Linked DNA regions of Kluyveromyces lactis. The protein of the gene in region 1 interacts with the protein of each later gene in a biochemical or structural test. Links are inferred from orthologs where the notes say so. Each region holds a gene or a part of one and is shown in the gene's direction. Other genes may lie near its edges.

What was found.
Region 2: the proteins of PEX5 (region 1) and PEX13 form a complex in vitro, tested with the Saccharomyces cerevisiae proteins (4 studies listed by BioGRID, with this or other methods). The link is inferred for Kluyveromyces lactis from reciprocal best matches to the Saccharomyces cerevisiae genes PEX5 and PEX13.
Region 3: the proteins of PEX5 (region 1) and PEX6 form a complex in vitro, tested with the Saccharomyces cerevisiae proteins (2 studies listed by BioGRID). The link is inferred for Kluyveromyces lactis from reciprocal best matches to the Saccharomyces cerevisiae genes PEX5 and PEX6.

Annotation. Positions count from the first base shown.
Region 1 is NC_006039.1:1,337,864-1,348,717, forward strand, and holds PEX5 (Pex5p), read left to right. Parts: upstream 1-3,706; coding exon 3,707-5,407; downstream 5,408-10,854. Other genes in the region: active spliceosome conformation promoter CWC2, read left to right, coding at 121-1,134; mRNA splicing protein PRP28, read right to left, coding at 1,576-3,195; MNN10 (alpha-1,6-mannosyltransferase), read left to right, coding at 5,984-6,979; RNA-dependent ATPase DBP3, read right to left, coding at 7,338-8,852; HNM1 (Hnm1p), read right to left, coding at 9,235-10,854. UniProt on the Saccharomyces cerevisiae protein: Receptor that mediates peroxisomal import of proteins containing a C-terminal PTS1-type tripeptide peroxisomal targeting signal (SKL-type).
Region 2 is NC_006041.1:1,752,693-1,763,410, reverse strand, and holds PEX13 (peroxin PEX13), read left to right. Parts: upstream 1-5,502; coding exon 5,503-6,729; downstream 6,730-10,718. Other genes in the region: putative proline--tRNA ligase AIM10, read right to left, coding at 1-350; threonine ammonia-lyase ILV1, read left to right, coding at 908-2,611; MMR1 (Mmr1p), read left to right, coding at 3,617-4,984; KLLA0_E19713g (uncharacterized protein), read right to left, coding at 7,049-7,480; DLD1 (D-lactate dehydrogenase), read right to left, coding at 8,814-10,544. UniProt on the Saccharomyces cerevisiae protein: Component of the PEX13-PEX14 docking complex, a translocon channel that specifically mediates the import of peroxisomal cargo proteins bound to PEX5 or PEX21 receptors.
Region 3 is NC_006041.1:184,748-196,452, reverse strand, and holds PEX6 (AAA family ATPase peroxin 6), read left to right. Parts: upstream 1-5,636; coding exon 5,637-8,639; downstream 8,640-11,705. Other genes in the region: exosome non-catalytic core subunit RRP40, read right to left, coding at 1-3; palmitoyltransferase PFA3, read left to right, coding at 291-1,268; EGT2 (Egt2p), read right to left, coding at 1,514-3,706; MDJ2 (Mdj2p), read left to right, coding at 4,951-5,391; histone deacetylase RPD3, read left to right, coding at 8,978-10,276; lumazine synthase RIB4, read left to right, coding at 10,762-11,265; NOP8 (Nop8p), read right to left, coding at 11,361-11,705. UniProt on the Saccharomyces cerevisiae protein: Component of the PEX1-PEX6 AAA ATPase complex, a protein dislocase complex that mediates the ATP-dependent extraction of the PEX5 receptor from peroxisomal membranes, an essential step for PEX5 recycling.

The DNA of each region.
Region 1 (10,854 bases):
TAATACGGTATCTGTTGTTGCATAAATTGGACGGTTCAAACTGTTTGCTTGTTCGAGGTCATTAAAGAATACTTGGTTTGGCAAATTGCCAAATATTAAGGTCATCGTCATCAATATATTATGACTGGGGATTGGAAGAACCGACCAGCAAGGGTTCAGTTACAGGAGTCTGACCTACCTTCATCAGTACCGCCTCAGACGGGTTTGGCTTTCAACGTATGGTACAACAAATGGTCACAGGGGCAAAGTGGGTCCACTAGGTTCGTCACACCGTACTCGCTTGATCCCGAGAACGATTCTGGTATCACTAAAGGTGATAAAGAGGGTCGGATTCATTTCTGTTTGTATTTCGCTAAGGGAATGTGCTGTTTAGGCAAAAATTGTCGGTACTTGCATCATATTCCAGAGCCAGATGATTTTGCGAGGTTAGCTTTGCATTCCTCTGCGTTAGATTGTTTTGGAAGAGAGAAATTTGCTGATTATAGAGATGATATGGGTGGGGTAGGTTCCTTCAAGAAACCTAACCGTGTCTTATACGTGGGTGGTATTACAGGGGCACTCAACAACAAAACTTTGAAACCACATCAGATTGAGAATAGAGTGAAATACAAGTTCGGGAAACTTGGAGAATTGGATTCTGTTCGATACGTGGAGAGTAAGAATTGTGCCTTTGTCAAGTTCAAATTACAGTGTAACTCCGAATTTACTAAGGAAGCAATGGGCAATCAGACTCTATTAATACCAACCGATAAAGAGTGGGATCTAAGGAAGGAGGGAACTGGGTTGCTTGTGAAATGGGCGAACGAGGATCCTAATCCAGCTGTACGAAAGAGAGAATTGGAAGAACAAACCCAAGAGACTTTGAAAGCTATAAAACAACTAGTGGCTAGTACTGAAGGCACTGTAAATCAAAAACGTAAAGTTGAAGAAATCAACGAAGTGAGAGATTCGCAGGCGAACAGTCGTGAAAGATTCAGCATTAGGGAGAATGCAATCATAGATAAGACTATTTTAGATAAGTTGAAACAAAGGAAAGTGACTATTACCAATACCAACGTTGCTGCAAATATAACAGTTTCAAAACCATCGTCGGTTTTACCTTTGGTAACCCAATATTCATCTGATGAAGACTAGATTTCGTGAAGTCATGTGACACATTGACTTTTCCAGATTAGGTATATTTTGGATTACTGGTTGCCGTCATGAACAACATCTAGCGGATTTCAGATTTGTTTTACTGACATTGCAAATATTTGAAATGAATATAAAAGCTATCAATGCCTGGTTTTCAAATTATGTCGAAGTTGTTTTGTCGAGTTCACTTACTTGAACTTCGTCAGTCTACGGTTTGGCCTTCATCAAAAAACACGATAATTTTGAATCAGACATCCGAAAAAATGGAAGACAAGGCACAGGCTCAAACAAGAACGCATGAATCGTCAGACCATTGGGTATTTCCAGGATTGACCTGGAATCCTAAATGCATTATTAGCTAGCACACTGTAACTATTTACGTTAAATACTCTAATTCATATTGCATGACTCTAAAATTTCAAGGAAAAAAGTCTAGTCCTTTCATATAATAATTGGTTTGTATGAAGATTTGTCAACATTGTATTTCGACATAGCTTCTTTTGAGATGTAATTTTCTCCGGTGAAGTCGTTCTTTTTGACATAATCGAACAATTTAGCCATGGCAGAATGATCTTCCTCCTCGGTTAGAAAAGTAAGTGCAGTACCAGTTTTACCAGCACGTCCAGTTCTACCTACACGATGCACAAAGCTGTCAAACGACTTAGGAAATTGTAGATTCACTACTAAAGAAACGTTAGGTATATCGATACCTCTTCCAGCGACATCAGTAGCTATGAGAATATCTACTTTCCCATTTCTCAAAAGACTTAAAGAGTGTTCACGTTGTTCCTGTGATTTTGAGCCGTGAAGAGTTGTTGCTCGGAACCGAGCCTCTCTAAGTTTGTCGAATAACCAGTCAGCTGTTCTTTTGTAATTTATGAATATTATGATAGGAGCCTTGTAATTTGGTAGGAAATCTTTTACAAGTATCTTAAGTTTTTCTTCTTCATCTGGAACATACCGTACTATTTGTTTAATTTTTGGTTTAGATTCTTCTCCTCCAACCGTGACATAGCTTGGCTTTTTCAAATAGCCATTAGCAACTTTTTCTATGGTAGGTGAGAATGTAGCCGTAAACATCATTGTTTGTCTATTGGAAATTGTTTCTGTCTTTGCTAAAATTGTAGTCAACTGATCTTCAAAACCGAAATCTATCATCTTGTCCGCTTCATCCAACACTAACGTATTTACTTGCTTTAAAAATAAAAGATGAGAATCTAGACAATCAAGTAACCTTCCGGGTGTAGCAACCAATATATCACATCCATCTCTTAGGTTTGCTGAAATTTCTTCCAAGGAATGTCCACCAACAATACTTACGATATTGCAAGGTCGTTTCCATAGTTTCGTAATTGATTGCCCCTCATGTTGTATTTGCTGTGCCAATTCTCTTGTTGGTGCTAATACTAATGCCAAAGGACCATCATGTTTAGTAATTGAATTAAGTGGCGGTATACCGTGAAGTTTTATAAGAATTGGAAGCAAAAATGCAAGTGTCTTACCAGAACCAGTACTAGCAACACCAATGAAGTCTCTATTGTTTATAACATTCGGTATTGTACTGCGCTGAATGGATGTTGGCTCGTTGTAGTGCAAATCATTTGTAATAATGTTTAACAAATCTTCCGGAATTAACTTTAATTCGTGCCAGTTTCTTAGAGGTTTCTCTACTGTTCCACCTTTACTCGAGATATTAAAGTCTTCAGATAGAATCCTCCAATCCCTAGTGCTCATCTCTTCATATTTCTTTTCAGACCAATGCTTCCCCAAGTAATTGTCGACAATACTTTCATCTTCATTTTGTCGTTTCTTCAAAAGGTCGGCGGATTTTCTTGCTAGGAATAGTAAATCATCTGGTTCATTAGATACTTGTTCCTCGTATAGTTCGTCTTCGTCGAGATTCCTATAATTATCTTTCCTCTTGATAACGGTGTGTGACAATGCCTTTGACGCTTCTTCTTCTTCTGGTTGTGGAAATGTTCGTTTCTTGATCAGAAACCGAGGTTTCTTCGCAGGAACTGTGTCTGATATTAAGTCATCAATACTGACGGGCCTTAGCATGGTAAAGTGTGATACTTTCTACCCATCTTTACAATCGTGTAATATTGCAATACCTTTGAGAAATGAGATGAGCTCCACCGTCTTAAAGCTTAAAGAACTTAAAGGCACAGTTTCTGATATTGTCGCCACGAATAACCTAATACGGTATATGTCCGGGTAATAACATCGCCCCAAACCTGTTCCGAAAAATCATGGCGATAATCTCAATCAATCTCTGGAGCTTTGAAAAACTCCAGAGATTGATGAATCATGATTTAAACAAACTAACCGAACACTTTCATGACATTGCCAAGGTTGAATTCATATATAACTGGATTCATCAACATATCAAATCTACATACTTTCTACGCAGAACTTGTCATTGTGTTCATTTGTTTGAGCTAGTAGCTTTATTATCAATCATCAAGGGAGCTAAAAGGGTTTACTAAGCATAGACTAAGGGAGCTCATCAAGGGAGGTGGTAGAGTTTAAAAACAAGAAAATATCCCATCTCATTTGACATAATACAATTATGAGTGCAGATTGTTCCGTTGGATCAAATCCTCTCGCGCAGTTGAATAAACATGCCCAGCAGAATCCTGCTCTGAGACAAGTGGGGTATCAAAATCCGGCCAGTAATGTTGCTCAAAACTTCAAAACTCATGTGAATGAAGTATCCAATGCAAATCGTTTTCAAATGGACCAGTTTATGAACAGGTCACCTGGTTTTTCTGATGGTCAGTTGGGAATGGCGCCTGTTCCTAGTGCTATTCTTTCGCATGGTCCTCGTTTTGGACTAAAGAAACAAGATAGTGGAAGCAGTAATATGTCAGCAGGCGATACAGCTCAGCATTCCAGGAGCTGGGGTAATGAATTTAATAGCAGATCTCCTCAACAGGGTTTAGCCAGCAGAGTCAATAATGTTGAAAGAATAAGCAACACAAATTCTATGAGTTCATACAGGCCTGGCATGTCCCGGATCGGGAGGCCGATGATGCATACAGGTATTTCTTCATTACATAATTATTCTCACATGTCTCAGCAAACACCGCAAATGTCCAGTGATGATGGTGTTCTCGCTGACAAGCAGTGGAATGAGCAGTTTGAAGCCTTGGAGAAGGCTGTGGCTGAAAATTTGACCATGGAGGACAATAAAGAGGAAACCAAGGAGGAGATAGTAGTGGAGGATGGATATCAAGCAGACTTCCAAGAAGTCTGGGATAAGTTACAAGCGGAGACGGCTGATAATAATTTGGAAACAAGTGATTCTCAATGGGAGAAAGATTACGCTCGCTATATGACTGGTAAAGCAACACATATTCCACCTTACAGATTTGATAATGATAACCAATACATGCATAATCCAAATGCCTATGAAATTGGATGTATCCTAATGGAAAATGGGGCGAAGCTAAGTGAAGCTGCATTGGCTTTCGAAGCTGCTGTGCAAGAAGACCCCGCGCATGTAGATGCATGGTTAAAGCTTGGATTGGTTCAAACACAAAACGAAAAAGAAATGAATGGTATTAGTGCGCTTGAGCAATGTTTAAGCCTAGACCCCACTAATCAGCAGGCACTCATGACAATTTCTATCAGTTATATTAATGAGGGATATGATCTGACCGCTTTCAGCATGCTCAACAGATGGCTAGATAGTAAGTACCCTGAGTTAACACGCTCCCCTACCATTGATGAGGCCAATATCGATAGGTTTAATTTGAGCAAACAAGTAATCACGAAGTATTTGCAAGTAGCTAACGCCTTGCCTCAGGTGGATCCAGAAGTTCAGCTCGGTTTGGGAACGCTTTTCTATGCCAATGAAGAGTTTGGTAAGACAATTGACTGTTTCCGCACCGCATTAGAAGTCAATCCAAATGACGAATTAATGTGGAACCGTTTGGGAGCCTCTTTGGCCAATTCAAACCGTAGCGAAGAAGCTATCCAGGCATACCACAAGGCCCTTGCCTTGAAACCGTCTTTTGTGAGAGCTCGTTATAACTTGGCCATTTCGTCAATGAATATTGGCTGTTATAAAGAGGCTGCAGAGTCTCTGCTCTCTGCTCTATCTATGCATGAAGTAGAGAATGTTCCAATTACTGGATCAGTCGTGCAATCTAACAATATTCTGGAGACCTTAAAGCGTTCCTTTGTCGCCATGGATAGGAGAGATTTGCTAGAAAAAGTCATGCCGGGCATGGATCTACAGCAATTTCGTAATGAGTTTAACTTCTGATAATGCAACGCAGCGAATAGTCTTTGTTTGATAGGACCATCCTCATATTCATAATGAATTGATCTTTCACCAAGTTTTGCGGAAAAATACATTCGCATAATTAATTACAAGCATTTAGTCGCATATATGTAGTCGTCATTCGATTGTATTCCTCAACGAATAGTGCAGAGGTCCATGCTCACGATCAGTGTACCAGTCAAAGTGTTATGGTAAGCTGTCGCGGTATCTAGAGACAGATTGCGATTCTATCATTTCTACCGGGTAACATTTTCTTGTTTTGGATTTCTTCATTTTAAAGCGAGTTGCAAGAATTTGAAGTAATGTCAACAGAGTAAAAATATATGTTCTCTATAGATAAACTCCAGAGTAGTACAAAACAATCATTTACTGGTTGTTGTTTGTGTATCTAAGTGATTTCGTTAGTACTTCAATACGTTAAGGAAATATAGTGTGACTGCTTGGAGCAGAAAATACTATTGATCGCGTTTTGCTGTTTTTCTGAGGCATCCAACTTGATCCGATTTATTGTATATTGTACGTGAACGAGAGACCAGTCAGAAAATCTAGATAGGATCAATGACTTCGAGTACACCTTATGAGTACTCATACGAATTGGATGAGAAAAAGCCATTAAATTTGGATTCCAATTACGTGTCGTCATTTTCAAAATATAAGAGGTACGTCCTATGGCTGTTTTCCATACTTTTCATATTATTTTGGTTAAGTGATTTCTCACTTGTTGCAGCTGAACCCAAGGTGGTGATAATTGTTGCTGTCAATAGTGGTGGCGGTGGTGTTTTAAAGTGGAAATCGGAACAAGAATGGGCTATCGAGCGTATTTCTATCGAAAACAAACGTGCATACGCCAAAAGACATGGTTACGGATTGGTCATTAAAGATCAGGCACTATCAAAGAGATACTCCCATGAATACAGAGAGGGCTGGCAAAAGGTTGATATAATGAAACAGACTATGAGGGAATTCCCCAATGCTGAATGGTTTTGGTGGTTAGACGTGGAAACTCTTATCATGGAGCCCCAACTTTCTTTGGAAGAACATATCTTCGATAGACTAGATGAAATCGCAAACAAGACTTTGGAAGCTTTCAATCCTTTGCATATAGCTACCGATGTGGCATATGTTGACTATTCACAACCGTCAGATATGTTAATTACACAGGACTGTGGTGGTTTTAATTTGGGTTCTTTCCTAATGAGAAACACTGAATGGACTGAGCTTCTTCTCGATATATGGTGGGACCCAGTCGGATATGAACAAAAACATATGGTCTGGGAACATCGTGAACAAGACGCTTTAGAAGCATTGTATGCTAACGAACCTTGGATTAGAGAGAAGATCGCATTTCTACCACTAAGGCAGATCAATGCTTTCCCACCAGGTGCTTGTGCAGATTTCAAGTATGACTTGCGCTATTTCTATAACGAAAAGGAACATGACTTCGTTGTCAATATGGCTGGGTGTAACTTTGGTAGAGACTGCTGGGGTGAAATGCGCCAATACACTCAACTGATGCAAACTCTTCACCGTAGATGGTACTCGATGTTCTTTTAGATTCTCAATTTCCTTTTGTTTATCACTTCAGTTGTATTTCAAAAATTATGCACTGCTCCATTGTACTAATACTGTAAAATAAAAGGCGAAGGTACAAGAAGATCTTCGATAGAGTATCCCCTTTTATACTTTAATGCTTTCCCTTTCAACACCATTCTTCGTTGCCTTTCAAAGTCATTGTTTGAATATCGCATATTTAATACGTCTTTAATTTCAATTTTTATCGTGAACATTCATTGTACAAACTTCGATGCAAGAGTAATTGTAAACTTTTATTTACTCTGTATTGAATGAACTACTGTACATAATGGGGGTGATTGCTAAAAAATACAAGAATTGTCTTTATAACGGATTTAAATTAATCAAATGTAATCTTTTTTGGTTTCTTTGATAGGTCCACATCCTTGAAGAATGCACCGTACGCACTATGTTCCTTCTTCTTTGTGTGAGTACCGAACTTCTTGAGCTCCTCAGGAACAGGTTGACCAGCACCATTTAAGACATTAACAAGGGCACCTGCAAGATGCTTTTCTTGCTCAGTGAACAATGTGTGTGCGGTACCGTATTGACCAGCACGACCGGTTCTACCAATTCTGTGAACGTAATCTTCTACTGTTAGAGGGAAAGTCAAATTGATAACGGTTTTCACGTTTGGGATGTCTAAACCTCTGGCTGCCACATCAGTAGCTAAAAGTAAGTTACATTTTCCTGCTTTGAATTCATTCAAAGCTTGAGTTCTTTGCTGTTGAGAAAGATCACCGTGAATGGCAGCAACATCGTAACCGTTGTATTTCAAGTTTCTTTCAACACGAGAGGCTTCCTTTTTGTACAAGGCAAATATCAAAACTTTGTCGTTCTTTGTTGGGCCTGAATGGTACTTCTTCAACAGTTCCAACAGTTTTTTTTCCTTTCTGAACGGATCCACAACTTCCACGATCTGAGTAATTCTTTTGTTTGCTGACAGTTCATCTCTGTTACCAATAGACACTTTAACCGGTTCACTCATGAAACTTGAAGCAAGTTCACGAACTTCTTTTGGCCATGTCGCGGTAAACATCAACGTTTGTCTAGAGGTGGATCTTGTTTGTCTAATGATTTTTTTGATATCTTCCTCAAAACCTTTTTCCAACATTCTGTCAGCTTCATCCAAGACCAGGTAGTTAACATGACTCAAATCAACAGAGCCTTCCTCTATTAGATCCAACAGTCTACCTGGAGTAGCAACAACGACTTGGGATCTCCTCAGATCTTCTCTTTGCTGATCCTTTGGAACACCACCGTATACGCAACAAGATCTTAAACCACACGCGTCAGTAAGAACAATCAAATTATCGTAAATTTGAGAGGCCAATTCTCTAGTTGGTGAGATAACAAGTACCTTGACGGAACTTGACTTGTCTCCTGATGTGACAATGTTGTTGATAGCTGGAACACCGAAAGCAAAAGTCTTACCCGAACCAGTTTCAGCGATACCGATAACATCCTTACCAGCTAATAGATATGGCCAGGAAACAGCTTGAATTGGAGTTGGTTTTGGGAACTTAGAAATTTCCTTTTGAATCTGATCAATAAACGACACTTGGGAAAAGTCTAAATATGGTACAATATTGGAACCTGATGGGTCGCTAACTGTAACCTCATTTTCCTTCAAAAATTCATCAATATCAGATTGAGAGGCAGAAGCAGCAAAGCTTTCAGTTTCTGATTTCTTATCCTTTTTCTCCTTCTTTTCTTTCTTCTCCTTCTTATCCTTCTTGTCTTTCTTGTCTTTCTTGTCTTTCTTGTCTTTCTTGTCCTTCTTCAATTTTTTCTTACTCTTCAACTCCTCATCTTCCACCTTTCTCTTCTTGTCCTTTAATTCATCTTTTGACATTCTGGACTATTTGCTTGAGCTCTAATGGTTAAGTATCACTACTACTGCAGATTCTGCAATCATATCATTCGAAAGCACTTAAGTCATCTCATCTCATCTCAGCTTTGTTATATAAAATTTTCAATAATCAAAAAACATTTCTTTTTACTGACGCCAGCTGAATTACAACAAGAGACAAATATATAATTAATATAGCAACGGAGGATCCGTATAATTGATAATATATTCTCAATTAATTCCGATACAGCAGTACCTCAGTTCGTATATATCTAGTAACAATAATTCAAAAGACAATGCAAGTATTATATTTAGTAGGTATATTAAACAGGTGAATAAACGTTAAAAAAGACAAGAAACGAAATGCGATAGGAAGCAGTGTTTATCATTTAGCATCATAAGCATGGAAAGCTTCAGTTGTTACTGACTCCTGATTGCTATCGGTGTTTTCATCTTCTCTGATATAGAAAACTTTCTTTGCCTTAAATTGCCAGAATCCTAAGTAGAATAATAGGAACCCAACAATGACGACTGATGCATAATTCATGTTATCTTTTGTCACTGGCATGACAGCTGGGAAACAGAAAAAGACTAAAGCGAAAAGATTCCAACCCAATAAAACGATATTGGAGAACGCTCCGAATTTTCCTAGCCAAAATGGGCCATGTTTAATATTACGTTTACGCGCCAACAGACATACGACCGGAACACTGTATGAGAACAATAAGAACGCAATACACCCAGTAATTAAAGAATTGAAAGCGGTGGTGGAAGCCATGTATAAGCAACCCAATAGCGAAATCAAGGCACATGACAGCAAGTGCGCGTTCAATGGCACACCCAATTCAGGATCAATTTTAGCCCAGTATTTAGAGTATGGGATACCGTTGTCTCTAGCAAATGACCAACACAATCTTGCTTGCCATGTATGGCATGCAATAACACATCCAAATGAGGTGAAAAGGATGAGGCAACCCAACACTACAGCACCTGGAGTAGATTTGGTAGCTTGACGGAAAATTTCCAAGATTGGCATTCCGGTATTGGATGAAGCAACAGCCTCTAGATCTTGTAAAGAGAAGAACATAGCGATGACGTAACTGAAAGAAGTAAGGAATCCAATGCCCACTGTACATAGAATAGAGATCGGAATCACTCTTTCAGGGTTTTCCACTTCAAAAGCCATGTGAGTGGCACAATCTAGACAAGAGAAGGACCATGCCGGGTTGATTAAACCGACAATGAAGGCAATGACTCCATTTTTCCAGCCAGTTTCGTTATAGAAAGTAGCAAAAACGAACTTGGCATCGTTATATTTACCATGGGAACAAGCTAGCACGGTCACTGTAATGGTGAAAAATGAAATCAATGAGATGTACAATGACGATTGAGAAATGACTGGCAAAGCCTTACCAGAACAGTTGAACATCATCAAGAACAAGTGCAAGATTTGGAAACATACGAATACATGCCATCTCTTGACTTCAAAATCTGGATGGGTCAAAGCGTACATGCCTACCAATTCAGAAGCAACTGAAAGTGTGGTAGATGCACTAGAGAAAATCGCACCTGCCCATGCAAAAGAACCACATAGATAAGCAGCTAGTCTTCTGTATTTTGGTGGAGCCAACTGCAACGACCACCAGAACTGACCACCAGCGTGTGGGAAAGCAGAAGACAACTCACCTAGAGTCACAGCAATACAGATAGAGATCAAGGCAATGATAATGATACCGTATACGACCATCATTGGACCACCAGAGTAGATACCAGTAACCATGGATACCGAGATACCAAACCAAGAATTCGTCAACCCGAACCCAACACCTAAAATCGACCATAGAGAGAATGATTTACGCAAATGACCTTCACCTGTACCACCGTACGCATCGTAAGCATCTTTACTCGATATACTTTGTTCTTCTAGTTTACTCTCCTCATGAACAACATTTTTGATACCGTTATCCGAACTGTTATCGTTGAATCCAGTTGAAGATCCTGCCAT
Region 2 (10,718 bases), on another chromosome or scaffold:
TTCATCAGCCACGTAATTTCTTCCTCACAAGTTGGTACAAGACAGTAATCCTTCTTTTTCGCATCCTTAAGTTTGAACAATTCAGTATTAGACCATCTGCCAGTCGTTTCCCAAAGAGACCGTTGTGACAGCGAGGATAATGAGACTTCATGTGCCCCACTTTCGTCCATACGGCGTCTAATTATTCCCTCAATATTTCTCAAAGTCTTAAGCCCCAAGGGTAGCCAGTGCAATACCCCAGATGAGGCTTGCTTAACGTAACCTAATTGTTGTAAAAGTTCATGTGTTGGTAGTTGTAAAATATCATTCGTTATCTTGCTCGGAGTGAACAAGAACCTCCTAAATAGCATAGTAAACGGATGAGTGACTGGAACCGCTCAGTTGTCTATAGCCTTGTAGTGATACAATACTACATCAAATCAATGCTAAGTTATAATGACGCTGTATATATTGTGGCTGTTTTGATTGTAAATATCATGCAGCTCATCTTATAGCTAAATTTCTCTTCAGATCACAATACAATTCTGGAGATATTGAGTAATGTCAAAAAGAGCTAAAACTGCTGAAAGAACAATACAATCACACAAAGCGTAAGCTATTGTTTAATTCGATCTAATAGTCTGTTAATGGATATTCAACTAGACTCCTTTAGCAGCATCAAAACTCGTAAAGTAGCGACAGGCATACGTATCTTGGATGTTCATTTTATGGGTCCACGTGATCAACATAGATAGTACTGAATCTTTTCACCGTGAAAAAATGGCCTAAACAGATCTTTGGTATTAAATAGAAAAATAGAGTCATTTGCAAGACCATTGGTGTATGTGGGATGATTTGCATTGAAAGGGTATCAAACCAGTTCATCCAGTAATCTGGTATACCGCCCCTATAGTGAGCTAATTTTGTGATGCTACAATCTATAGTGAGAACTCCTAGAGTTCTTCGTGCTTCAAATGCATTAAAACTTTCTGTTCGCTGTGTTAGCACGGACCAGTTCTCTGATAATTTGCAGAGGATGTACTCCCATTTGAAGGCTGACGAACGATTGGAAGATGGATCTCCAGACTACGTGCGTTTAATTTTAAGGTCTTCTGTTTATGAAGTCATTGAAGAGACCCCCATTTCACGTGCGGTGTCATTGTCCTCTAGACTAAACACTAACGTTAAATTGAAAAGAGAGGATTTGTTGCCAGTGTTTTCCTTCAAGCTGCGTGGTGCTTATAACATGATTGCCAAGCTAGACGAAACACAGAAGAATGCTGGTGTTATTGCGTGCTCTGCTGGTAATCACGCACAAGGTGTTGCCTTTTCAAGTAATCATATGAACATTCCAGCTACCATTGTGATGCCTGTTTCAACACCATCAATCAAATATCAAAACGTGTCGAGATTAGGTGCCCAAGTGGTTCTATACGGTGACGACTTCGATGAAGCCAAATTGGAATGTGCGAGGTTAGCTGAAGAACGTGGTATGACAGATATTCCACCATTTGATCATCCTTACGTTATCGCTGGTCAAGGTACTATTGCCATGGAGATTCTAAGACAAGTACAAAATGGGTCTAACATCGGAGCAGTGTTCTGTGCCGTAGGTGGTGGTGGTTTGATTTCAGGTATTGGTTCATACTTGAAGAGAATCGCACCTCATATCAAGGTTATTGGTGTGGAAACTTACGATGCCGCTACGTTAGATGTTTCATTAAAGAACGGTAAACGTACCCCATTGCCAAGTGTTGGAACGTTCGCTGATGGTACCTCTGTGAGGTTAATCGGTGAAGAAACATTCCGTGTTTGTCAAGACGTAGTCGATGAAGTTATCTTGGTGAACACCGATGAAATCTGTGCTGCCGTTAAAGATGTGTTTGAGGACACAAGATCAATTGTCGAACCAAGTGGTGCTCTTGCTGTTGCCGGTTTGAAAAAATATGTCTCTCAACTACACCCTGAAATAGACCATTCTAAGAAGACATACGTTCCAATTCTTTCCGGTGCCAACATGAATTTCGACCGTTTAAGATTCGTCTCAGAACGTGCTGTATTGGGTGAAGGTAAAGAAGTGTTTATGTTGGTCACCATTCCAGATACTCCAGGTTCTTTCAAGAAGCTACAGAATGTGATCCATCCAAGAGCTGTCACTGAATTCTCATACCGTTATAACGAGCATTGTCACGAAAATGACTCCGATGTACCAACCGCTTGTATCTACACATCTTTTAACGTCGTTGACCGTGAAAAGGAAATCAAGCAAGTGGTTCAACAATTGCATGCTTTAGGTTTCGAAGCCGTAGATATCTCTGACAACGAAATGGCCAAGTCTCACGGTAGATATTTGGTCGGTGGTGCTTCTAAAATTGAAAATGAGAAAGTCATTGCATTCGAATTCCCAGAGAGACCAGGTGCACTAACTAAATTCTTATCAGGATTGAACGTTTCCTGGAACTTGACTTTATTCCATTACAGAAACCATGGCGCTGATATTGGGAAAATTTTGGCTGGTATCAGTGTGCCTCCACAAGACAACGAAATCTTCCAAAAGTTCTTGGACGATCTAGGATATAAATATCAAGATGAAACTGACAATATGGTTTACCAGAAGTTTTTGAAGTACTAGGATAGTAACAAACGAACAGATTATATTTAATTATACCAAGAGTACTAGTAGATGCGACTTTCAATTCTTTCCGGTAAAAACCATTGTACATTAATACCTCTGATATACTAGTAATATTTCAGTCCCATATATATATATATATAGATATCTATATACTTTCATAAAGTTCTTGAAACAAGATCCCATTGAAAGTCAGTTCCCACTCAAGACTCGAACCCCGGCATTTTATACCTTGACTTATCCGACCTGTCTATACTTCTTAGCCGATCTGCTGATTTTAGTAACGTTATGTCCTAAAAGGGTAATTTGTAAACATTGTCTGTTTTCTTTACTTAAACATGTCGAAAGCGATGAGCAGTCGGATTCGGTAACACAGTTCCCACAAACGGAAGAGAAAGAGGGTAGATGAAGTTGTGAGTTTTGGATCCTACCCATTTTAAGGATTTTTTTCTTTGAGCTTAACAAAAGTATTTCAACTATTGTTATACGAGGTGATTTTCTTAAGTTTAGTTATTCTCTGCCTTCATCGAAATCACTCGTAAAGTCTCTTGGCGGAGAGTTTTGACATCCTACTGGTAAGAGAGGAAAACTGGTCGACAAAAGGCACTTCCTTTTCTCAAAGAGAGCACCTGCGTTGTTGGAAAAGGAGTTTTGTGCGAAGTTACATTCCGTTAATATTCTGTTGGGGAAGGTAAAGGGTATTTGAAACTTGACAAAGTGAGGAAAGCACCGAATACTTGCTAGCTTTATAGTCGAACCCTTGTGTCAGTGGAGCATCAGCCTTTCATAACATCATTCAGCAAAACAAGTTGAGATTCATTTAGGGTTGGAATAAAGAGACAAAAAGAGTATCCCCTACTGTAAAATTTCTCTTAACAAGAAGCTTTTTGCAAAGTTTACCTCTAGAGGTCTAACTTAGAGCACAGTAAACCGCAAATTAGAGATAGGCACAATAGCGTACGGGAGTGCAAACTTCATCCAATATAAAACAGAAACAAAAAGAAGATGCTCGGAGGTGGCATTGATGATACAATGATTGCTCATGGCTCATCGATTTATCTAGACGATAACGGTGCCTACCCCAAACGACTTAGGACATCTTTGTCAAAAATTATGGACAAGCAACTGGATTACAATAATAGTATGGCAAACGTGATACCGATAGGTCCAAGGTCTAGGTCTAGGTCGAACTCAATTGGAGGAGATACCAATCCCACTCCTATTTCATCAATGCTAAGATCTACTTCTCCAATTAGGATATCTCCAATACCTGGTCCTGTGAAAGTGCAACCGCCTAAGATGTACAAGAAAGAATACCTTTTGAAGAACAACAACAGTAATCAAGTGATAAAAAATGTTCCAATAGTTGGCACAAAAATGAATGCCAATGGAAATGATAACTTAAATCGTGGGTCCAATGGCAAACCTGCTCTTGGGCATAGAAGAGGAATGTCTAGTACATCCCAGTTAAGTAATACCACAAAATACGTTGAGCTAGAACCTCCAAAAATAGGTGATAGGTTCCCATCCTCAGATTCATATACTTCAAGTTCACCGACTGTAACACTTGATCTTGAACTTCAAATGCTAGCTGATGAGGAGGTACAAAATGGATTAAATGATAACAATGGGGCTGTCAATAACAAAAGAAATAGTATACTATCAAATTTCATGAATGACGAACAGCTGTGGCTGAATAATAAAGATGATTTCCAATATCCTGACGATCATCATTTCGACAAAGAAAGACTAGATCTGACAATCAAGAAACTTCAACTGAAGATTGATGAGTTGAAACTGGATAACGATAAATTGCATTTGGATAACGAGAATTTAAAAGATATCAACAATAGTTTAACGAGAGCAAATGAGTCCTTGACCTTCCAAAGCAGCTCGTTATTACAGCATATACAACAATTACCAAGAATATCAAATACAGACTTCATAATTCACAATTCAGACAGGTCACGGGAGAATATATCGAATAAACCACCATTCAAATCAGATGCACTAGTAAAGATCGCTGTTGAAGGAAAGATAAAAGAGCTAGAGAAAGAATTAGCTAAATGCAGAAGAATTCAGAAGGCTTTGGAATCCAGACTGAGCCCAAGGAAAAACAGGGTAAAGTACTTAACAGTTGAACAACTCGACGCGCTGGCTGAATCCAAATCGGAGAGTAAGCCAGATGAATCTAGTTTACATATCAGCGATCCCGACAACACTACCGCTCATAACAGTACTACGACATTAGATTGTGACGAAGGCGAGGTATTATCGGGGAGTATTAATCCAACGAGACTACAGCATGGTTTCAATTTACGCATACAATTAACTTCTTTAGAAGAAAGCAAACACAAGAAGGACTTTTCATAAGATAATTACAAATTTTTTTCAAGCATAATACGGACAACATTTTCGATTCAATATTTACAACTATCCAATGCTGCTGATAAAGCTTTGTAGTAGATACATTCAACTCACATTGCAGCTGCTTCATTTCGAACTTTTATACATTCTTTCAATAATAACAAGGATACATATATACATAATATGCGTGTCATTCGGAACCAATTTAAATACAAAATATTTAAAAGAAGGAAATAAGGATTTTCATTCAAGTATCCAACGGTTCTTCGTGGAAAAGATATCGTCTATTGCTGATGAAAAGACGATATCTACTATTGTCTTTAAGTCACGACGCAGGAAATAGTAACTTGTTACCCGGCCAAAGCATATTTCAAAGATTGACGATGATTCTAAAAGTAACATTGAATCATGTCGTGGAGCTTAAATACAGGTAACGACAGTGATGAATACACATCGATTGTAGCGGTTTTGGCTTCTATTAAGTGCTGTGATCGAAGTTCATATTTATTAGAGCATCAGTAGTCATGTCACAATCGGCAGGTGTTTCCAGACCGAAGCCCTGGGAGCAGAAAAATGGAGTTGAGAGTTTAGGAACTGATGCCAGTTTTACTGAGAATAGCAGTGCGTTGCAACCATCTGGTAATCAGCCTGACTTACCATCCAAACCGAACGGTTTAAATGAGGGTATGGATTCTTTGAACGGGGGAAACCCTCTTCGAAATGGTATGTCTGGATATGGTTCGGCGTATGGTGGAGGTTTAGGTACAGGATATGGAATGGGTTCCATGGGTGGTGGATATGGATCCATGTACGGAGGTGGTTATGGCTCTATGTATGGTGGTGGTTTAGGGTCGATGTACGGCGGTGGTTTAGGGTCGATGTATGGGGGAGGGTTCGGATCAATGTATGGGATGAACGGTATGAACGGTATGAATGGAGGACCCTCGGGGATTGCAGAGTCAACACAGGCAACTTTCCAGTTAATAGAAGGGCTTATAGGAGCCGTTGCTGGTTTCGCCCAGATGTTAGAAGCTACATATATGGCTACCCATAACTCTTTTTTCACTATGATAACCGTTGCGGAACAGTTTCAATATATGAAGGAGCTTTTGGGATCATTCTTTGGTATATTTGCCTTGATAAAATTCGTAAAAAAGATCTTGTACAGAGTTACAGGTGGTAAGATGGGAGTAGCGCCTTCCAAAAAGCGCTTAGGGATAGAGGGCGGAAAGAGCCAGGGCTCAGATCTTTCAAAACAATTTATCGAAGAATTCAGGGACTCAGATCTGACGAAGAAAAAGGGTAGAAGAATTTCATGGAAACCATTGATTGTGTTTTTAGCAGCTGTGTTCGGCTTCCCGTACCTTTTGAACAAATTTATTCAGAAATTACAACAGCACCAAAAAGCCAAAATAGCTGGCGGCGCTATGGCACAACAAATCTTAGATCCTAATAACCTAGAATTTGCAAGAGCGATCTATGATTTCGTTCCTGAGAATCCAAGAATTGAATGTAACTTAAAGAAAGGAGATCTAATGGCAATCATTTCCAAGAAAGATCCACTAGGAAATAACTCTGAATGGTGGAAAGTCAGAACAAAACAAGGAAATATTGGGTACGTTCCATACAACTATCTTGAGTTGATTAAGAAAAGGAAAAATGGCGTACCTGTTGAATCTGAGAAATCGAATACTTCTGAAGAACTGGCGGATTCAACCTCGGTAGACCATCTATTACAGAATCAACAGTGATTACATGGTGATGGACAAGAATTGAATATGGCGGGTCACAAATGCTAAGTTAAAGATGTGATAGCTTCAGAAAGTTTCAGACTAAGTATTAAGAAGAATTACGTTGTATTTTTCTCTTGTTTCACGTTATATATGTATTTGTGGTTACTACACATTTATTATTCCATTGCTCGAACCCCAGATACGGCATTTGGAATGCTAGAATATTAGCACAAGGGCGTTTATTGTCACCCTGCTGCTTAAAGGATCAGGTAATTTGGTTTATTGGGAAAAGAGGACATCGACATTCCGGACTTTATCATCATCTCATTCCTTATTTTTATTCGTTTAGTTTGTCAGCAGCATTTTCCAGTTTTTCTTTACCCTTGGCAGCGGCTTCCTTACCCTTGGCAGCAGCCTCTCTACCTTTGGCTTGGGCGTGTTCCTTACCTTTCTCTGCAAGATCGCTGGCCTTGTTTGAAGCCGTGTCAGCAGCTTCCTTGGCATCCTGCCCTGTCATATTGAATATCCCTTTCACTTTTTCTTCAACATTTTGGAAATTTTCACCCAAGTGATGAGTTGCTTCTTCGGTCTTCTCAATACCTTCAGCTGCAGCTTTACCAACTTTCTTGTTAACGTCTTCTAAAGTTTCTTTGATACCTTTAGAATCAATGTTAGAATTGTGAATAGAACGAGCCATAGGAGAATTTGTGAATAATCTAGAGGCAGCTGGGACTCTGGAACCTCTGTAAATAGTCTTTGAAATCATCATTTTGAAAATAGGAATATGTGGGTATAGTAGTGTTGCTCTCTCGTTGCGTTAATCGATCACGGGCTTGATTGATTCGTATCTGAATTTGATAATGGTGTATTTAAAGGTGTCTAATCCTAGAAGAGGCATTATTCTTTCGACCATGCCCTATATATATATACATACTAGTATGTATCATATATCTGGATTTGTATCATCTGTTTTTCAACATGTTAAGGTTTGCTACTAAATGGTACAATATCTATCGACAATAGTACTGGAGAGATGGTAACTTGCTTTTGTAGCAGAAATACGTATTCCATCCCTAATAGAACTCGACAGATTCTTTCTGAGCAGCATTATGAGTTGACGCAATTTGAACCTCCATGAAATGCCCAAGGACATCGATCCATTTAATCATCGGGGTCTCATCATTATGATCCGATTGCTGATAATATTACATAACCTATATCAAGTACACATTCAAACCCTCCCTGAGTCTGGGGATCCTATCCCACAAATACCAGTACAGATTGAATCCCACAGAGAATATTAACTGCCACGAATACTGCCATGTATATGTGCGTATATTTTCTTAGCATCTTCAATTAGCAAACTGTCGTCAAACACCGTGTAGTATCGTTTTTTTTTGCTATCAACATTTTGCGTTTGAGAAAGACAGACATACAGAGCAGGAAAAAAGAACAGAAATAGAGCAATCACTTTGCTGCAGAAGGTGGAGAGTCTCACTTTGAAAGACATTCAGGACGGTTGTCAACTTATCCATCGGAATAGTCTATGAAACTTGTAAGAATGAATTTGTGTTACTATGTTGTCGTTTTAGACAATCCGCAGAAAGTTCAGTGAATAATATAATGAATGGTGAACAATGAATCGGATCTCATCTAACTCGTTAGTCACATGATTAGAAATGTGCTGGTTCTTAACTTGGTTAATGTTTATATCTCAGGTTTTTTTAGGCTTTATAGAGTTTTCTAGTTTCTTACGTATGAGTACATTGCGGCTATAAATCTTGCCGAACCTAATTTCTGACTTGCGTCAGTTTTTGATCAGACAGTCCATTTGCACCTTTGATGTAGAGGAACGTGAGGTTAATGATGACTAGTAGTGCTGCTCTTAAATACCAAAGTTATGGTGTTTTATTTTGAATATGATTAACAATAATGACTGGCAGTTTGTATGGATTGAGCGTAATAATTACAGGGAATTTACCTTATAGTCTATTTTTGTTGTTTTTAGGGAAGAGTTCGTCGTCGTATCTGGTATAACATTAGTTAGTATTACCATTTTCATTAGCGTCATTCATTCATTAATGATAGAACCGAGGGTCAGATTAATGTTGATGATCGTTTGGATCAATCTTGAAGATCTTATCTGGATTCAAGATTCTCTTAGGATCCAAAGCGAGCTTCAACTTTCTCATAACTGCAACAGTGTCTTCACCAACTTCTTCCAACAAGTAGTCTCTCTTACCGATACCGACACCGTGTTCACCGGTACAAGTACCTTCAGCATCAATGGCTCTCTTGACCATATTTTCAACAATAGTTTCAGCTGTTTTTCTTTGTTCAGTGTTGTAGATGATGAATGCATGGAAGTTACCATCACCAGCATGACCAACCAAAGAGGTTAATAAACCAGATGCGTTCATTTCTTCCTTGGTAGCATTAATAACATCTGCGAATTTCGAGATTGGAACAGCAACATCGGTTGTCCAAATGTTGGCATCTGGGTTGGTCTTTCTGCCGGTATCAATGGTTGACCAAAGAGCAACTTTTCTAGCTTCCCATAGTTCTAGCTTGGAATCTTCATCAGTAGCAAATTCAAATTTGGTATTGTTGTGTTGAGAAGCAATTTTTTCCACTTCTTTAATGACTTCTTGAATAATCTGTTCAGATCTACCACCAATCTTGAAGAACAAAGTTGGAGATTCGACCCAGTTATCCTTTGAAGTAGCACCACTTTGGTTGATGATTTTCATCATGTTATCATCCAACAATTCCATAGCATTCAATTGAATACCGGCTTGAATCAAATGAGAGGAACAAGATGCAGCATCACTGACAGTTGGGAACGGAACGACAGCGACAGTTTCAAAAGTAGATCTAACATGACATTTAATAGTAGCTTCAGTAACGATACCCAAAGTACCTTCACTACCAATAATTAACCCGTTCAAATTGTAACCAGCAGACGATTTTCTAGGTCTTCTCTTGGTCTTAACAATAGTACCATCAGCCATACACATAGTAATATTAACAACGTTTTCCTTCATGGTACCATAACGATAAGCGTTGGTACCAGAACAAGAATTAGCAATGCAACCGGCGATTTGAGCACCTGGACCAGGGTCACAACCGAACAACAAACCATGATCGTTCAAATATTCGTTCAATTCTTCCCATGGAACACCACCTTGTACCACAACATCCAAATCCTCTTTATTCAATTGAATAATCTTATTCAAATATTTTGAAATATCCAAGACGACACAAGACCCTGGTCTAGTTGGTAGGAAATGCCCTTCCAAAGAGGTACCACCTGAAAATGGGATCACTGGGATAGAGTATTTGTGACAGATTTTCAATAATTTGGAAACATCTTCTGTGTTGCGTGGATACAAAACAATTTCTGGTCTTTGATTAGCTTCAGCATGATGAGAGTTGAAATAGGTATCCGAATGAGCATCCAAATCGTCCTTAGCCACAGTGAAGTTTTCAGGATCGTTTTCTAAGACATCTTTCAATTCAACAAGAGCTTTAGCAAAAGTTTCCTTATCACAGTACTCGGGAGAATCAAGGTCTTCCAATCTAGCAATGGACAAATCACTCACGGACTTTTCCTTCTCGAACTGAGAGCCTAGAGCATATGCAACAAACCCACCACCAATTAAAGAACCACCAAGAACGCTTAAAATGGCGGACGAAAATCCACCGCCGTTATTACCGTTAGAAGACGAATAATGTCTTTTTGCAACGGCAGTGGTCCTAGAACGCAGAACGTCCTTACGTAGTTGCAGCGAACCACGCAAAGCAAAACCGGATCTTCCAACAAACCTGAACATTGAGTTGCGTTTCTGGTCTTTCTTGCACTTTGCGATAACAAGTACACAAAACAGCTGCTAAGTTACCAAGTTTCTCTACCAAGTTGTTACCTTATTATATAGTATATTGATATGCGGAATACAGACGGCGTTCGATTATACATATATATATATATATATATATAAGTACAAGTT
Region 3 (11,705 bases), on another chromosome or scaffold:
CATTTCAGTCCTAATGTGATGAGTCTCGACAGATCTGGCTTATTATACAGCCTTGTTTATTCCCCTTTGAAAGTAATGGTAGCTCATCGCTTGCAAAAATAGACGTATCTTCAACTTAAAATTTTCGTATATTATACTTTCAGTAACATGAAAGAAGAAACAAATGAAACAGAGAATCATGTAACTCTAAAATATGAGCTAATTCGGGCTTGAATTAATAGTCATTCATTGGTGAGGTCAACAACAGGCAACCTATCTAGTGGCACCTACAGACACTGTATTGAAATGCGATGCTACTCGATAGGATTGGGTTTTATTTTCCAAAAGCCCTCAGTAACTTTCTAATACTTTACACATGTTGTATTTGCTTCAGCAGAATTGATATATTACCAAGAATCGTGAATGTAGTGCTACTGATTACTCTGTCATCTTTTGCGTTGTACACTTATTGGAAGATTATACGAGTGGGTGCTGGAAGTCCATTAGAATATTCCTTTCTCAAAATCCAAAGTATAGATAATGTATTGAACAGGACAGAGCAGCCTCCGGACATAATAAAAGATAATTGTATCTTCGTGAAGAGAGACGGATCTTTTAGATTTTGTCAAACGTGTGAGATCTGGAAACCTGATAGATGTCATCATTGCTCAAAGTGTAATAAATGCTTCTTAAAAATGGATCATCATTGTCCTTGGTTCGCTTCTTGTGTCGGATTCAGGAACCAAAAATTCTTTGTCCAGTTCCTAGCATATACTACAGTATACTCTTTATATGTTCTACTGATGACGTCTGCTCAATTGTACAGCTGGTTCAGACAGATGAAATATAAATCAGAATTATTGGACCTCCATCTACTGGTTGTATGGGTACTTAGCGTCATTGCCGCAATAGCCACTTTTGCATTTACCACCTACACAATATGGCTTGTCACTAAAAATGAGACTACTATAGAGCAGTACGAATGGGGTAATATCAGACATGATCTAGAAATATATGGAGATAGTATTAATTGCAATATGGGATCAGTTGACAATGTTTTTGATTTGGGATCTAGGTCTGCAAATTTCAATTGCGTGATGGGTGCCAGTTGGGCGGAATTACTTTTACCAATCCAGGTAAGAGCTGATGATCCATTTGATCCATATGCAAATCAAGGTTTGTTTTTTCCGGTTCAGAGTGATACATATAGAATATATCGCGAAAGCGTGAACTTGCAGCAACGTTTGATTACGAGACTAACTCTAAGACCGTCGATAGAACACATCTAATGAATCAAGTTATTCTTTTTACGTCCAGAATTTCACTATCGGGCGTAAGCTCATGATGATAAGGAATCACTTTAAAGAGCCATGAGAAGGACCCACTTAGTGTATTTAAATAAGATGAGTTTTAAATCCAAAAACTAAATATCATGATTGTTACAACTGTATAAAATACTAACGAAGGATGCTAAAATAAGTCAAAATAAGTCATTAAATGCTTCTACCAATGAAAAAAGGGCAGACTAAAGAAATCATATTATAATTGCCAAAATAGCAATGAATAGACTTCCGAAGCCGTATTCGACACGGTTAGCAAAGCCGGAATATTGCGATACTACGGCTTGTGTTTGTTCAGCAGATGATGTAGAAGCACCCAAGAATTGTAGAAGGGTTGAAACCTCTTCACCTCTGGTGGATGTTCTTAAAGAGGTTTGAGTTTTCTCTGCAGCATCTCCGACATCTGTCGCTAAAGTTGTAACTGGCACAAACGAACCAATTTCTGTCTCTTCACCGCTTAAAGTTCTACTTTCCAAGCTCGTAAAGGTTTGGAAATTGGTTATTTCAGTAGATGGAGTATTAGTACGGATCGCGGTTTCAGTATGGGAGGTAGTTTCTAGTGTATCAGTTTTTTGGCATGCTGTACAACTGGAAACCCATGATGTATATGTCGAAGTTCTGCCATGGACCGTTTCAGTAACAACAGTAGCGTATGACGATGGAACATCTTCAGAAGAGTTCGAAGTTAATTTGGAACTGGTTTCTCTACTTTTGCTTGAGGAGGTTTCTTCAACTGGAGCGAAAGAAGAAGTCAAAGATGTAGATTGAGAATCTTTACTTCTGGACGAAGTGGGTTCTTCAGTTGAAGTAGAAGAAGTCTCGAATTTGGAATCAGAGTCTTTACTGAGTGTCGCAGAAGTCTCTTCGCTTGAGGCAGAGGAAGAGGTCAAAGATTTAGAATGAGAATTGTCACTGCTGGCAGAGGATGTCCTTGCAGTCGAAGTAGTGTTTTCAAATGAAGCGGATGATGTAGAAGAGGATGATAGGGTTGACACAGGAACCAATTGAGTAATTTCAGTGACTTCACCATCTTGTGTCCTCGTAATAACAGTATATGTGAGTGATTCGTTACTGTATGTGGAAACAGAAGTCACGGTTGGCATAGAGGATGTAATGTTAGTTGAAGTGATAGTAGAAGTTGGGATAGAAGTGGAAGTGGAAGTGGAAGTGGAGTTATTGTTGTCTACATTGCTGGTCAAAACAGTAATTGAGTTGATGCCACTCAATTCAATGTTGGAAACTGGCTCCAAGTAAGCAGTAGTCTCAAAAATAATCGATATATCTCTCTTGTACACGCTCAAATTTGGATAAGTCAATTGAGCAACATTCTTCAAAGTAGTAGTACCAGCGTCAGCGGATAAAAAGTAAATAATACGCAACGCTTGGCCACCAGATACGCTAGAGCTGAAGGAGTAGGAAATAGTGGATTCATCTGAATTGCTCTTAGCAGCAGTCACATTAGAAGCAGCGGTTGGGTTTTTGAAAGAGTCAACAGCAGTAACAATTTGGAAATAAGAGGCAACGAACTCGTAGTCACTTTCAGCTACGGAAGTGAACTCCAATTCCCCTGAATATTCATTGTATGGTATGTCTACGGCAAAGTATGGACGACCAAATTCATCAATACCAGTGTCAACGGTGGATACTGTGTAACTCTTTGTCTCAAAAGTCAAAGTACTTGAAAAAGTTGGACCAGAGTAAACTTCGAAACTGTAATCAACAGTGGTTGGTTCGCTTGGCTTATCTGCCAGTTTGGTCAAGAAGTTGAAAGATCCATAGTAATCTTCAGCAACATCTTCAAAGCTAACCTTGAATACACCAGAAGAATTATGAGAAACGGAACCGATAACGTCTTCATCTGCCAGGACTTCGTAAATACCTTCTGGGAAGTTGCTGAATTGATCTGGAACAGTTAAAAACAAGTCACCAGTGAAGCCTGCTGTGACAGAAATGTCAACGTTAATGACAAACCAATTGTTTGGATTGCTTGATATTTGAGACTGACTCAGCGTATCAAACACTTGAACGGTTTCGATAGCCGCTGATGGAGTACTAATTGATATGTCCGAAGTAGATGTGGAAGTAAAAGTTACCGAAGAGCTGTTTGAAGACGTAGTGTGCGATGGGATTTCTGAAGAAGTCACAGGGCTCACATCAGAAGTGGTAGAGTTATCTGTTACCGAAGAGTAGTCAATACTTGAGGAAGATGGCAAAACTGGTATGTCACTAGACGAAACCTGTGATAATGAAGAAGATTCCGACCACAGTGAAGACGACGATGAAATTGTTGATGCAATGGATGATGATACAACCGAAGTATCATTACTATACCTAGCAGAGACGGCAGTGAATAACACACCCGTGATCAAATATCTTAAAGCAACCATAATCGATTCTTAGTTTTAATGTATGGTCTTTCAATGGAATGCGATTGGTTTGGAAGTTGGTTGATCTAAGTTGACCGAATCAAGAATACAAGAATTTGACAACTTAGTGATGAAACAATAAAACATAACAACTGAAATTCCTGCCATTTGGCTTTGGTTTATATACAGCAAGCCTGATTCTTCAAAACATAAATAAATAAATCACAATCAAAACAGCAAGCAGGTACACAGGGCCATTGTGTAATATAATGGCTTGCAAAATGGGTAAAAAATTGCTGGGCCCCATCACACAATCCTAAATTCACTTCCCATCTATCAACGGTGCCTTGGATCTGCGTCAAATCAGATCATACATTGTTCTTACAGGATCAATCGTGCTACGGAATTGCAAATTTGGCAGCACCATTGAAAATACTAACAAAGAGAAAGTAAATGCAATCATACCCAGCATTTTCAAGAAAAAACTCCTTTACACAAATGCCCGGCAGGCACCAAACTCAAATCCGTATTCCCCCATTATCTATCACACATGAATGCAGAGCTGCTACCAATCTCCATTTCATTCAAATCCCAACTCATCATAAAATTGCTGGTTTCTGATATTGCGAGAAGCTGTTAAAAAAAAAAGTGATCCAACCTTAAAATGAAAAACTTGTCTCGAGGATCTACCGCTATTTCTACATTAAGGTACTTTGTCTCCCAATTTAGGGGAACCAACCAGCATTACGCATGCAGAATTTTGAAAATCTCAATTGTTTAAGTGAGAAAAGAAGGTATGTGGTGAATGGGTGGTATTTTTGTTGAAGGTTAAAAACGATATATTCTATTACTCTGGGAAAAGAACAAAAACTGAAATACTTCCTCATGAAAGAAATGAGATGAGATGAGATTTGATATACTGAGCACAAGAGAGGAAAAATCGTTAAACGAATCTAGGGTCAGGGGGTCAGGGGCTCAGGAACAGAGTATCTGTGCTAAGTATCTTAGAGTGAATCTGCGGAAACCTGAAATACTATGCGTGCCTGTGAGTGTGTGCACTTTAATTAAGCGTTTTAGTTATATCAGACGGTGAGCACATTCCAAAAGTCTTAATAAGACCATTTTATTTCGATATTGCATTGAGCTAACCGTCACATTCTTTTGTATACATCACGATATACTTGCAGGGAAGGATACGAACATTCTACTTTTAAAGACCGTTCCTTTCTTGTGCCTGTTTTTTTTATACGTTCTTGGTACATGCAATGGTTTTGCCTATTATTGTCGGTATTGGAATAACCACGATTGCCGTGGTTGCTCGTTCTGGGCTACGAGCATGGGATAAGTACTGTCGCTTGACACCACTGATGATTGCGCAGTTTAATAACATTCATATTCCGTTTAAGGATTTGGATCAGTTTGGATCAAAATATAGAACGAGATTATCTCCAGAACTATTAACGAAATTAGATAGATACCCGGGAGGGTTTTATGACAAGATGTCAGAGACCGAAGCATTGCTGATATTGGGCATTTCAGCCCGGGAGATTGAAGCGCTCGATGAAAGGTTGTTGAGACAGAAACATCGAAGAGCGATGATTATGAATCATCCAGATAAAGGTGGAAGTCCGTTTATCGCTTCCAAAATCAACCAGGCAAGGGACCTCCTAGCAAATAGTGTAATACTAAAAGGACCACGTGATTAAATTTAGCATATCCTCCGCATTTCTAATTGCTAGACACATACAGTCCTGGCTTTTTCTTCTTTTCTATTTCTTGCTCCAGCTTTCATATATATGTAAATGCTTAGATAAATATTCTTTTAGTTAAACGATTAAACGATTCTCCAAGAAAAAACATCAAGTGAATCATCAACAATTTTCACATTGGAGAATCTGAAGAAATACCCAACAGACAAGGTCCTGACGCTCGATCAACGGGGTCGTTCACTATGGTTATTGCATCTTTGGAGTCTACTCATGCTATCTCTACTTCCATTGTGTTATCCTCAGATCTATGGACCGAATTTTATGGTACTGAATCGGTTTCTAGCGCTAGCCCGAATTATGTGAAGCTGACGCTTCCATCGTATAACAAATGGCACCATCAGGCGCTGATTTCACATTGTGATAATGACGATTCGCTACCATTTGGATCAGCTGGTCTACCAACAAACTTCATAAAACAATCTCAGGTCAGACCTATGTTCAGTTCAATTGAGATTGAACCTTATGTGCAGCAATTACCTAACTTGGACAACCTAGTGTTATCATTGAACCCTGACCTTTTCAATGAATTAAATCAATTATCAAAAGAAGAGCAACGGAAATTTTTAACTTTGAGGTTTAACTTATTGTTTGGCATTACTGTTTTAAATGTCAATCAGGTCGTGTATCCGGCATTTTGTAAAGTGACTTCAAGTTCGAATGATTTCGGTATACTTACGGACCAGACACAAATAGTATTGGTGCCTGATTCAAATGTTGTAGAACAATCGCGGTCTAATGATGAGTTCACGGAGTTCGATCATTTGTTTTCTTTGCATGTAAAAATCCAATCATTGTTGGATCCGGTACCTGTAGAATTTTTGTCACCTCCACAACCTGATACAACTGACAACGACCTTTTCGCATTTGTCCAACCAAATATTCTTCTTCAGTTGGGTGTCCCAAGCGGAACATTTGTCAGAGTGATTGCTGAAGAGCAGGAAATGTTGGTTCAACTTTTCGTCTTATTCGCTCCCAACGAATATGAATGTGATTCATTATATGTCTCCCCCAGGGTAAGGTACGTATTCATGAACCATGCCAGAGTAATCATACAGAGGCCTAATCTAGCATTGAATAGATTTTCAGTTTCAAATGCTGTGACATTATCTAGAATCGGCTGCCAAATTAATGCCCAGAGACGCTACCAAGATATTATTTCCCATCATTTAGCATTATATTTTAGTGAAAAACAGCGCATTGTTAAAGTAGGTGACTTAATACCTATTACTTTCGACTCCAATTATGCATCGATGTTTACCGATGATATTCGTTCTGGCCAGCATGACACCTTAGTTTGGTTCAAAGTGGAAGAGATTGAAAGTGACTCAAATGAAGAGTATCATATAATAGACAGCTCTATCACAAGACTTAGTACTGTCAAAATTACTTCAAGAGAATTGATGCCCAAATCAATCTGTGATTACGACAGATTTTATAATCTTTCGCCGTTATTCCATTACGACGAGGATGCATTTCCCTTTGCCAAAAGGTTAAAGGATATTTTAAATACGGCAATCAAATGTTCTGCAAGGAATGTTAACGTTGGTACAAGTATAATGCTGCATTCTTCATCTCCAAATGTCGGTAAAACAATGTTAACACGCTCTGTTTGTGCTGAACTTGGGTTTCATTTGATTCATGTAGACTGCTTAAGTTTAACCTCCAACTCGAATACCTCCGACGCTACCAATAAAACTATCGGATATATTAGAGCTAAGATCGAGACTATTATATCATATGTTGAGAAAGTAGTCATTTTTTTATCTCACTTGGAGACCATACTGGAGGATGAACAAAATCAACAGGATAATACAAGCTCCAAAATGGCTCGTCAAATGAATGTCGAAATGGCAGACTTAATAGAAGAATACACCACAAAATATAAAGGAACAGTTTTCGTGGGGTCTACCAATGACATTGACAACATACCTGCTATAGTTAGGTCCAGAATAAAATTTGAAATTGATGTACCAGTGCCAACTGAAAAGCAAAGGTTACAAATGTTTCGATGGTATTTTGACCCGTATGTTTTGAACAGCCAAACTCCAAAACTGAGGTCACTAATATCGCATAATGTTCCATTGCAGACAGTATCTGTTCAATCGGCTGGTTTGACTCCAATGGATATACGATCAATCGTCAAAGCTGTCAAGTACAAATGTTACCAACGTCTAAAGCAGAACGACCTTCTAATTGATATGACCGATATAACTGCAGTCATAAATATTGCAAGAGATAGATTCTCAGACTCTATCGGAGCTCCTAAAATTCCTAACGTGACTTGGGATGATATTGGTGGGATGGATGTGGTCAAAGGAGAAATCATGGATACCATAGATATGCCACTCAAGCACCCTGAACTATTTTCATCTGGTATGAAAAAGAGAAGTGGTATTCTTTTCTATGGACCTCCTGGGACTGGTAAAACCTTGTTAGCGAAGGCAATTGCGTCTAACTTCTCTTTAAATTTTTTCAGTGTTAAAGGGCCTGAACTTCTTAACATGTACATTGGTGAATCCGAGGCAAATGTTAGACGTGTCTTCCAGAAAGCAAGAGATGCTAAGCCATGTGTCATTTTTTTCGATGAACTTGATTCCGTGGCACCAAAGAGAGGAAATCAGGGAGATTCTGGGGGTGTTATGGATCGTATTGTGTCTCAACTTTTGGCAGAACTAGACGGAATGAGTTCAGGAGGAGACGGAGTGTTCGTAATTGGAGCTACGAATAGGCCAGATCTTCTTGATGAAGCATTATTACGTCCCGGTAGGTTTGACAAGATGTTATATTTGGGGATATCAGATACCGATAAAAAACAGGCAAATATCATCAAGGCTTTGACGAGAAAGTTCACACTAGAATCTGGTATCGATATACTAGATATTGCCAAAAAATGTCCGTTCAACTATACAGGTGCAGATTTCTACGCATTGTGTTCTGATGCCCTTTTAAACGCTATGACTAGAGTTGCTGGTGAAGTTGATGAAAAGTGGGAGAAGTATAACATGGAAAATAAAAAGAATATATCATTGAGGTATTGGTTTGATAACGTGGCAAACGAGAATGACTTGAAGGTCGTGGTAAAATTACAAGACTTCGAGCTTGCTCAACAGAATCTAATACCAAGTGTTTCTGAGGATGAATTAAGACATTACTTGAGATTAAAGAGTAGTTTCGAATCTCAATGATCGTTAATAAGTAATCATATCGAATATTATTATAAATCATATATAACAAATATATTAACTCATCCATGCAGGATGATCTGGTCAGTAAAAAGTTGGTCTACTTCTTAATCTTCTTCAACTCGTGTAACATGACAGATCTCTTTAAGGCTTTTCTTCTTTCTTTAGCTGCTTGGAAATTCTATATTGATGGAGACGGTGAAAAATGAAGGTAGTGATTTCTATTAAAACCTTGATTTATGTCGAAAACATACCAAGAAAGCTATATAAACAAGAGGTGAAAAATTTGTACCGGCTCTCCAACTTAGCGAAACTATTAAGATTAATTGTGCGTGGACGGTATGGTATACGAAGCTAAACCTTTTGACCCGATAACGGTGAAGGCTAACGAGAAGAAGCGAGTTGCATACTTTTATGATGCTGATGTGGGAAACTATGCTTATGGTGCAGGACATCCTATGAAACCACATAGAATAAGAATGACACATTCGTTGATTATGAATTACGGTTTGTATAAGAAGATGGAAATTTACAGGGCTAAACCTGCAACGAAACAGGAGATGTGTCAGTTCCATACCGATGAATATATTGATTTCTTGTCTCGAGTCACTCCAGATAATTTAGATATGTTCCAAAAGGAGAGTGTGAAATTCAACGTTGGAGACGATTGTCCTGTGTTTGATGGTTTGTACGAGTACTGTAGTATATCTGGAGGTGGTTCTATGGAGGGTGCAGCCAGATTAAACCGAGGCAAATGTGATGTTGCCATTAACTATGCTGGTGGTTTACATCATGCCAAAAAATCGGAAGCTTCAGGGTTCTGTTACTTGAACGATATAGTGCTAGGTATCATCGAGTTGTTAAGGTACCATCCTCGTGTTCTTTATATTGATATTGATGTGCATCACGGTGATGGTGTAGAAGAAGCTTTTTATACTACGGATCGAGTTATGACATGTTCTTTCCATAAATATGGGGAATTCTTCCCAGGTACTGGTGAATTGAGAGATACTGGTGTCGGGAAAGGTAAATACTATGCTGTGAATGTCCCATTAAGGGACGGTATTGACGATGCCACTTACAAATCGGTATTTGAACCAGTCATAGGTAAAATTATGGAATGGTACCAACCTTCTGCCGTGGTACTCCAATGCGGTGGTGACTCTTTATCCGGCGATCGTTTAGGTTGTTTCAACCTTTCAATGAAGGGTCACGCAAACTGTGTCAACTACATGAAATCGTTCGGTGTTCCTCTCATGATTGTTGGTGGTGGTGGTTATACAATGCGAAACGTGGCTCGTACATGGGCTTTCGAAACGGGTATTCTGAATAATGTGATTTTGGATGAAGAACTTCCTTACAACGATTACTACGAATATTATGGCCCTGATTACAAATTGGATGTCAGACCATCTAATATGTATAACGTCAATACACCGGAGTATTTGGATAAAGTGCTACTTAATATTTTCAGCAATCTAGAGCATACTAAATATGCCCCAAGCGTTCAACTCAATCACGTTCCTCGCGATGCGGAGGACAAAGGTGACGCCGAAGAAGATACTGCAGCTGCGAAGGACACTAGAGGAGGTTCTCAGTATGCAAGAGACATAACCATTGAGAATGCAACCGAATTTTAGCCAGAAAACAAAAACAGATGATCTTTTATTATTTACTGTATTATAATATATTTACACTTAGAAGTACTCTTCCGCATTTGCTACAGGTTTTATCGTCACTCACCTAATCACTGTTATATGTCATTCATCCGACGGTTAATATGATGCTGAATATACAGATTGGTGCCCAAGTTAGAATTGATCTAATGAGGTCAATTTTCTATCGTGTTTTCCCTCCGTCAGTATCGGTATTTGCCATAATTTTCCACGTAATACTATTCCAGTTCAGATATGACTTACATCTGCACTTCGGTTGTCAGTAACAAATCTATATATGAAAAAGATCAAAAAATGAAAATCCAGAAGCGAATGGATATTTAAAAGTTAAGATCAGATAGGTCGATTACACAAGAATAAAGCTTATCCTATTTCATATAGAGATATATATTATCTGATAGTAGATACGTTGTATCTAAACATTCAAATCACAGTTAGTAAATTTTGCAATGGCTGTTAAAGGTTTGGGTCAATTGGATCAAGTTTATGATGGTTCTAACTTGAGAATTGGTATCGTTTACGCTCGTTGGAACAGAACAATTATCGATGCTTTGGTAGAAGGTGCCATTAAGAGACTTCAGTCCTTAGGTGTTAAGGAAGAAAACATTATTCTTGAATCCGTTCCAGGTTCTTTTGAACTACCATGGGGCGTTGAAAGGTTTGTTCAAAAAGAATTTGAAAAAGGTCATCGTTTAGATGCTGTTATCCCTATCGGTGTCTTGATCAAAGGCAGTACGATGCATTTTGAGTACATCTCAGACTCTACTACCAATGCTATTATGAGTCTTTCTAGTAAATTGAACACACCAGTCATTTTCGGTTTATTAACTTGCTTGACTGAAGAGCAAGCGTTGGCAAGGGCTGGAATCGATGAAGGAAAGACTATGCACAACCATGGTGAAGATTGGGGCGCTGCTGCCGTAGAAATGGCTGTAAAGTTTGGTTATAACTAGAAATGCAGTATTATTATATATTTGTCTATATGAAAAGTTATATTGAACGCACTTATAATCAACTCAAAGCACGGCACGTTGGAATGCTACAAAATTTAGATTAGTACGGTATTTCCGTGATATTTGTCCCTTCTTTTTTTGATTTGTCTCACTACATCTCTCTTCCTTTGTTTCATCTCTTTAGTCCAACTACTTCTGCTATTCCAGAACGTTTCTTCCCAGGTTTTGAACTTTTCATCTAATGCAATAGGTGGCTTTATTTTCGCAATCTTAGTCTGACCCACCAAAAACGGAGAATCCTTGTGTAGAAAAAACAGTGGGTTATTCGATTTCTGTGGAATAATAACTTCAGGTATTGGTAATGCCACTTGTTCCTCCTGTACATCTCTCTGATGATCAATGTCTTCGTCGGATTCCTCAATCAACTTGAATGATGTAGG